Oryza sativa Japonica Group: one gene and its partner. The main gene of each other region encodes a partner of the protein of the gene in region 2 in a complex. Links are inferred from orthologs where the notes say so. Each region holds a gene or a part of one and is shown on either strand. Other genes may lie near its edges.

Region 1 (3,078 bases), about 14 Mb from region 2:
TATAAGCTGTGGCTCATAACATCACTACGTCTAAAACAAATTTGTTTTTAATTAAAACAGTTGTGCTCAACTGAACTGAACAGTGTATACAGTTGCAAAATAAATCTTTGGAAGTAACTTATACTATTATGGATTTATCAATGCAATCAATGAGATACAAGCTGAATATCCAACACACGCAATTCGTCAATACTTCATGAAATGGAGCAGATCTAAACTAATCGCCTGTGCACCATGTAGTTGGCACAGAAGATATAGTTGAGAGCTTAATTACTCAGGCACCAAGCTAATCCCAATTCCCAACAAAAGTTTTTTTTTGGAAGAACTTCTGCATGCAACTCCAGTACAGTTATATCCTAACAAACCAATACACGAAATTGATCTGACGGGTGAAGTTAAATCAAAGACCAACCCAACCCGTTTCAGAAAAGGATTAATTTTTTTTTGACCAACCCAATCTAGCACGTTTAAATCCCTACGTTGAAGCAATGCTAAAATCCCTAAGCATGAAGTCATATACAACCCCCGTGGCCTCAGCATAGCGTCATAGCATAAATTGAGGGATACAACACAAAGAAATGACAACGGCAATGACAGACGGGTTGCTAACTGGTATGTATTACGACTGACATTCTGTTTGTAAACTGCCAACCAGGCCAACAACTTACAACAAAGGAGGGTACCTAAAGTCACACAGTTAAGGTTTTATTTTGTTCATTTTTGGTTTTCCTACCGGAGGTTTTCAGGGAGCCTTGGCCGGGTCATCAGTCGGCACATCATCCTCGTCATGGTAGATGTTCTCTGCCATTTGCCATATCTGAAGGATGTTGTCCTCAGCGACGCTAGCAATCACCCAGTCCTCGCACGGGTTCCAGGAGAAGTCGGAGATCTTGCTTGTATGGCCTCCATGAATGAACAGGAGCTCCGGAGGACCATCTTCCGCATCCTCCGGTGTCTGTTCCTGGTCAATCCTGTAAAACACAAGGCGTCAATCAGAAAACGAATTTTACATGGCTGGCACATGGTACTAAAAGTAGAAAGCCAATGAACAGATACAAGGTGGAGTGTAAGATCAAGATAAGGTGTAACATCAACAATTCTACACAAAAGATGGTGACATACTACATGTGTCCCAAAATAAACAAATATAATATAGGATGTGACATCCTAGTGCAGAAGTACACTTGGGACAGAGGCGTCAAGTATTCCCAAGCATAGTTACAAAGTTCCCAGGTCAATGGGATACTACTTGCCAGAGGATTTTACAAGGTGGGGACGAAAATGTCCCCACATTCCCAGGAAAGGGACAGCGTTCCCAGGTCGAGGAATGCTGCCACCGAGTCCATTTCCTGTGACTATGAATCCCAAGGAAGTAGTTATGAACAGTATCACTTATACCATTGAAATGTGAGCCATGCTCACTATCGTTCCCAATCCAGAAGAAAACCCAGGACTATGCAATCTCCAAAAAATTGTGCACCAGAGGATGTGAAAAATACCAACCGCATTGGAAAATTTCTTGAAAGCTGAGACTTTTACCTGCTTAAATCCCAGACCATTAACCTTCTGCCAAGACAACAAGATGCAAGTATAGTCTCATTCTTTGGGCTCCATCCAACTTGAAATACTTCCTCCCTGATTATGAAATATTTACAAGTTTAAAACCAGTAATGATAACAAAAGGCAAAGCATGAACAACAAAGTGAAACAGGTGCGCTATACTTTGATAAAAGTTATTTTGGCAGGTAAAGAGGAAGCAGTGTTAAACAAAAAAGTTACTCCCTCCGTTTCACAATGTAAGTCATTCTAGCATTTCCCACATTCATATTGATGTTAATGAATCTAGATAGATATATATCTCTAGATTCATTAACATCAATATGAATGTGGGGAATGCTAGAATGACTTACATTGTGAAACGGAGGGAGTATTAACATTGGATTACTGGAAATTTACTTGTGGCAATCAAAGGTGTGTAGGGAAGTATCAATCTTCCGAAGATCAAATAGTTTCACGGTCTTGTCAGTTGAACCAGTTGCAACAACCCATTCATTGAAGGGGTTGAAAGCCAGACAATTCACCTACAAAAGACAATACATTAAAAAGAAGGAACTAATTTGCACCATTTTTAGGGAGCCATGTGCTTAAAGTATTTATTATTAAGAAACACAAATGAAGTATATGATGTCCTCTATGCAACCATACATGCTGAGATAAATGCCAAAAAGAACTTTTGCAAGTTGTATTTGAATTTTTTTAAGTCAATATATATATGTAGTTTTGTCATGTTAGATTGACACAAAAGTATATCTGTGCATATATATAATTCTAAATTTAAACGCTTTCTATAAATCACATTAGAATAGTGCCCACTACCCGCAACACCAGAGCCAAACTGCTATCAATCCACTATCCACTGTTGACCACTAAGATGACAATAGACATGCAAATACAGTAAACACAGGTTCCTTTCTCTCTTTCTTTTTTTTGGAAAACAGAAATAAAAAAAAGGGCTCATCCAGAATACTATACGGAGAGAACACTAAGCAATGTGCGTACAACAAAACATCCTGCAAATACAAATAGGTAAAGACTAGAAAGCATCAGAGTGCAACTATGAGAGATAAGGCACGTTTAAAAAAAAAACTGAACAGGACTGTTTTGGACAACACAGAGGTCAACATGAAAATCAAAATGAGATCTGATTTTGTCTGAAAACAACATTGAAGACAGAATGTAGAATGATCAAAACATTGAAGCCAAAAATACTCAGTTTTGCACCAGTAATTCATAATCATGCTCACTTAACGAGCAAGAACAAATAAACAGACCACACAAATTGCTAACCATGACATAATAACATTCCTCTCGTAGTGCCAACAGACGTCACATAAAAATGGAGACTTAAGGCTCAAAAGGATACTTACCTCACCCTGGTGTGCCGCCACAGACTGTACAGGCTTAGTAGACACAGGAGAACGTAAATCCCAAATTAGCAAATTGTGATCATCACCAACTGAGCCAAACAAGTATTCATGCCTCAAATGCCAGGCAACATCTTCAACGACACCATCATGA
Region 2 (4,438 bases):
ACATGTCAATGAGCACTGTCATGACATAAACATTGGGCCCCAAGTCCTCCTCAGCGATAATCCTATGCAGCCACTTTCCCAGGGACAAAGCTCCAAGCTGTGCACACGCTGAAAGAGAGCTAGAAATGATGATTGGATTTGGTCACACGCTAAGTACCAGCATTTGCTCAAAGAGGGCAATTGCCATCTCCGTCCAGCCATTCTAGGCATACCCTGGTATTATTGCTTTCCATGATTCCGATTCCGTGGTCTTCTATGGCATCGCATTGAAGGCCTTCCTTGCAGACTCCATATCATTTAACCTACAGTACAATATGGTAATTGCTGTCGACACTGGAGAATTCGCAGTAAATCCAGACTTGAGAGGACCATGTAAGCATTGATCAAGCAGTTCATTCCCAAACAGACTATACGGGATCAGTGCCAGTGCTCGAGTTTGGCTTCAATTCCAAGGCCATCAACCCAATAAACAGATTAACTGATGAACCAACCATGCAATTCGCCGAGCAAACATAGATTAAGCATTGTAGGCAACCAAATCTGGATTCTCCATCAAGTCAAAGAGACGCCATGCAGAATTCCACATCCCCGCTGTATACACCGAGATCAACCGGTCAGAACATGCTCATACTCCGCCAACCCTCTCTTCAGAACATGCTCATACTCCGCCAACCCTCTCTTCTCTGCAAGAGGCATCCTCCCCAATTCCCCATTGTTATATCTGTTGCTGGTAAGACCGTTGCCAGCGTGGTTGTGTCAGACCGAACAGACTCTGCACTCGCCATCCTCACGAACGACTCCAGGGCCTCCGAACCAGGAAGCCCGGCCGGCCATCAGCGTGTTCCACATAACGGTATCCGGCGACTGCACAGTGTCGAACACCTTGCGTGCGTGGTCACCTCTGGACAGCATGAAGCGTACAGGCTACAGCTTGGCCAATGCGGACGCCACGAACGTGTCGGCGGCGTAACCCGCGCGTGCAGCGCGCCGCGCGCGGGCTGCGGAGTCGGTTGGAGACGACACGCCGCCGCCATGAGAGCAATGAGCGAGGTGGCGGCGAAGGCGAAGGAGAAGTAGTCGAGGCAAGCGGAAGAGAAGGCGGCAGCGGAGAAAGCGATCGGGGCGGCGGAGGAGGTGGGTGGGAGGGAGGGACGCGTAGCGGAGGTCGGAGGAGGAGGGAGCTGAGGTTTCCGGGGCGGGGGTCGAGAGGGTAGTGTACGGAGGCGAGGGACACGGCGAGGATCTGGTCGAGGTAGCGCAGTGTGAAGGAAAGCGCGATGAGGCGGAGGGCGCCGGCGAAGAGCGGCGCGGCGGATAGCGGGAGGAGGCGGCGCCGGCGGGGTCTCATCCGATTGGAAACAGATTGGGAAGGGGGAGGGGGTAGGAATACGTGGCGTCGGCAGTATTAGGTAGAGAGAGAAACCCTTTCCATCCTTTGTCTCTTAGCCCCGAAGGAGAGAGAAAAATCAGAAAAAAAAAACCCTCCGCGTGTGGGGGAAGCAGAGCTCCGGACGCTGGCGCCGCTCGCGCCACCGCACCCGCACCGCCATGGCGTCGTCCTCGTCCAAGGCCTCCGATTCCTCTTCCCAACGCCCCAAGGTGCGCGCCCTCGCCTCAGTCTCGACTCCCCGCGCCCGATTCCCCACTCCGATCTCCTTCCCCAATCTGATCGGCCTCGCTGTGCAGCGGCCGGATCAAGGGCCGTCGGGCAAGGACGCGGCCGGCCTCGTCGCGCTGCACGGGAAGCTGGCGCAGCTGAAGCGTCAGGTCCAATCCACCCGCCTCGCCGCGATCAAGGCAAGCGCCCGCCCGCCGATCACGCATCTCTACAGTTTCAGCTCGCAGGGGGAAGTGTGAGTAGTCGGTTGGATTTTGCTCAATCTGGCGTGGATTGGTTTGGTTTGTGGTTTTTGAGCAGGAGAGGGTGGAGGCGAACAGGAAGGCGCTGCAGGTGCACACGTGCGCTCTGTTCGACGTCGCCGCGGCGGCGGAGGTGGCGTCGCGGGGCGCCGAGGGCGGCAACGCGCTGTCGCGGGGCGCGGCGGAGGGGCACCGCAGGTTCGTGGGGTGGGACTCGGCGAGCGGGCCGGGGGAGAGGGAGTTGGTGCATGTGCAGGAGGAGAATCTGGTCGCCGGGACGCTCGTGCTCTCGAGCTCTGGTGGTAGCGGCGCCTCGCATAGGACCGTCGTGCAGCTTGTGAAGCTGCCTGTGGTCGACAAGATTCCGCCCTACACCACGTGGATCTTCCTGGACAAGTATAATGCTTCTACACGCTCATTGTTCCAATCAGATCACTTGTCGCTAGGTTCTTGAACTTGCAGTTTAAGTTTTACAAGAGTTCAGGAGAAGTTGGTATATTGCCATGTAATACTTCTTAAATAAAAAGTAGGGTATGCCATGTAATGCACCTAGATATGATATTGTGGAAAATATACTACTCAAAATTCACTTATGATGCATGAAGCAAAATTGAACTATTTACCCATACAAGCCATAGAAACCAGACAACATTTTCAGACAGATATTGCAAACTTGGGACTAGTAGAAATATTTGGAATATAAGTGTTAGCTCAAACATTACACTCAGGTAGTGGTGTTCATGTGTTTTTATGTTTGCTGATGAGCGAGAGCACTAGTTTGTGTTAGGATGATGGTCAGTTTGAAAAGATTCAGCTACTTGAACGATGTGTCATGCTACTTATCTTCAGTTTATTTGCTTGATTAATTCCAAAGTGGTATTTATTTTCTCATATACGTGCTGCATTGGTGTAACAAAGAATACTTGATCCCTGTTGTATTCGATATTTTACTCTGGTTTAAACAACACAGCGCAGAAACCAAAGAATGGCCGATGATCAGTCAGTTGGTAGGAGGAGAATTTACTACGACCCAATTGTCAATGAGGCTCTGATCTGCAGTGAAAGTGACGATGATGTTCCAGAGCCAGAGGAAGAGAAACATGTTTTCACAGAAGGAGAAGATCAGCTAATATGGTAAAAACCTGGACATTCAAGAATTCTCTCTTTTTTTTTCATTGAATATGCTGTGATTTTTCCCAATCATGATATCTTTCTGTTGCATTTTCTTTTCAATAAAATGATTCAGATCTAAGTTAAACATGGAAGAAGGCCCAGAGCCATGAACTTACATTAACATAACAAACCATCCGTGCAAAGTTAGTTGCGCTGTGCAGTTGTTTTACTCAGTCTGCATGATTAATCCACCTGTTTTCTACCTTAAGGATCGTGCATACTCTAAGAGCTTCCAACCTTCATGTACCCTGTTAATTCTGAAATGTAGGTGGAAGGTAATGTGTTGTATTAAATCATCTTTTTAGGATGGATCAACGGATGCCATTTTAATTTAACCAATGCATTATTGGTGAAATACTGGCTGGTTTGACTTTACACTTCCAGTTGTGACAATAATCTGTAACCCAAGGGCACCCTTCTTTTATTTACCTTTTACACAATATAATCAGAATAACAATTTCTATTATAAATTATACTGGTAAAAATCGGTAATCATCCCAATACTATCCGCTACCTTCAGAATAAATAAACATTTTTATATGTAAATTTATGTCTATCTGATCTTGCTTAACTATACAGGAAAGCTACTCAAGATCATGGGTTAAGTCGAGAGGTTTTAAATGTCCTCTGCCAGTTTGTTGATGCAACTCCTTCAGAAATTGAGGTTGCCCATTTCTCTTTTATGAACATTTTAGTTCGTCATTACTATTTTTTTTAACTCTGCAGCTGTTTTTTATTATCCTACAATGTGATCATGACTCTTATTCCGATCAAAATACTAGGAAAGATCAGAAGTTCTTTTTGAGAAATATGAGAAGCAGTCTCAATCTTCTTACAAGACAGATTTGCAACTTTTTCTTGACAAGACCATGGATGTGGCTTTAGATTCTTTTGATAATCTCTTCTGTCGGAGATGTTTGGTATATTATACTTCTGGCATTCTGTTGCTTACAGTTCTTTTTTGAATTCCATGTTTTAAACCCCTTTGTTCAACTACATTCGCAAGGTCTGAATTACTTGTTGATATCTATTTATTCAGGTTTTTGATTGCCGTCTCCATGGGTGCTCCCAGAACTTGGTATTCCCTGTAAGTCATAAGTTATTTCCTGTTGGACTCTTGTAAAGTTTTGATCTTTCTACTTTGCTCATCCTATCAATGAATGGAGGCTGTTGTCCTGCCATTTGGTCCAAAGTGAAATTAAAAAAATACCGCTAACTACTAACCTTTTGCTTACCAGAGCGAGAAGCAACCATATGGTCATGAACTTGATGAAAACAAGAGACCGTGTGGCGATCAGTGCTACCTTCGAGTATGTGCCCCCTCAAGTTTTGCAGTTATATCAATTAATAAAGTTGTTTATGATTCCTGAATTTGCATAATTTGCCAGTCCCCCCCTGTGGGAAT

Evidence for each region.
Region 1: histone-lysine N-methyltransferase EZ1 (region 2) and histone-binding protein MSI1 homolog share a complex: the UniProt entries of both Arabidopsis thaliana proteins name them as parts of the plant homeodomain / polycomb repressive complex. The link is inferred for Oryza sativa Japonica Group from reciprocal best matches to the Arabidopsis thaliana genes SWN and MSI1.

Annotation. Positions count from the first base shown.
Region 1 is NC_089037.1:25,484,467-25,487,544, forward strand, and holds the end of histone-binding protein MSI1 homolog, read right to left. Parts: coding exon 2,928-3,078; intron 2,082-2,927; coding exon 1,957-2,081; intron 1,636-1,956; coding exon 1,540-1,635; intron 972-1,539; coding exon 743-971; 3' UTR 583-742; downstream 1-582. UniProt on the Arabidopsis thaliana protein: Core histone-binding subunit that may target chromatin assembly factors, chromatin remodeling factors and histone deacetylases to their histone substrates in a manner that is regulated by nucleosomal DNA.
Region 2 is NC_089037.1:11,010,150-11,014,587, reverse strand, and holds the start of histone-lysine N-methyltransferase EZ1, read left to right. Parts: upstream 1-1,490; 5' UTR 1,491-1,548; coding exon 1,549-1,599; intron 1,600-1,686; coding exon 1,687-1,797; intron 1,798-1,918; coding exon 1,919-2,256; intron 2,257-2,830; exon of another isoform or gene 2,831-2,835; coding exon 2,836-2,994; intron 2,995-3,612; coding exon 3,613-3,697; intron 3,698-3,815; coding exon 3,816-3,953; intron 3,954-4,072; coding exon 4,073-4,120; intron 4,121-4,271; coding exon 4,272-4,343; intron 4,344-4,438. UniProt on the Arabidopsis thaliana protein: Polycomb group (PcG) protein. Catalytic subunit of some PcG multiprotein complex, which methylates 'Lys-27' of histone H3, leading to transcriptional repression of the affected target genes, mainly abscisic acid (ABA) responsive elements.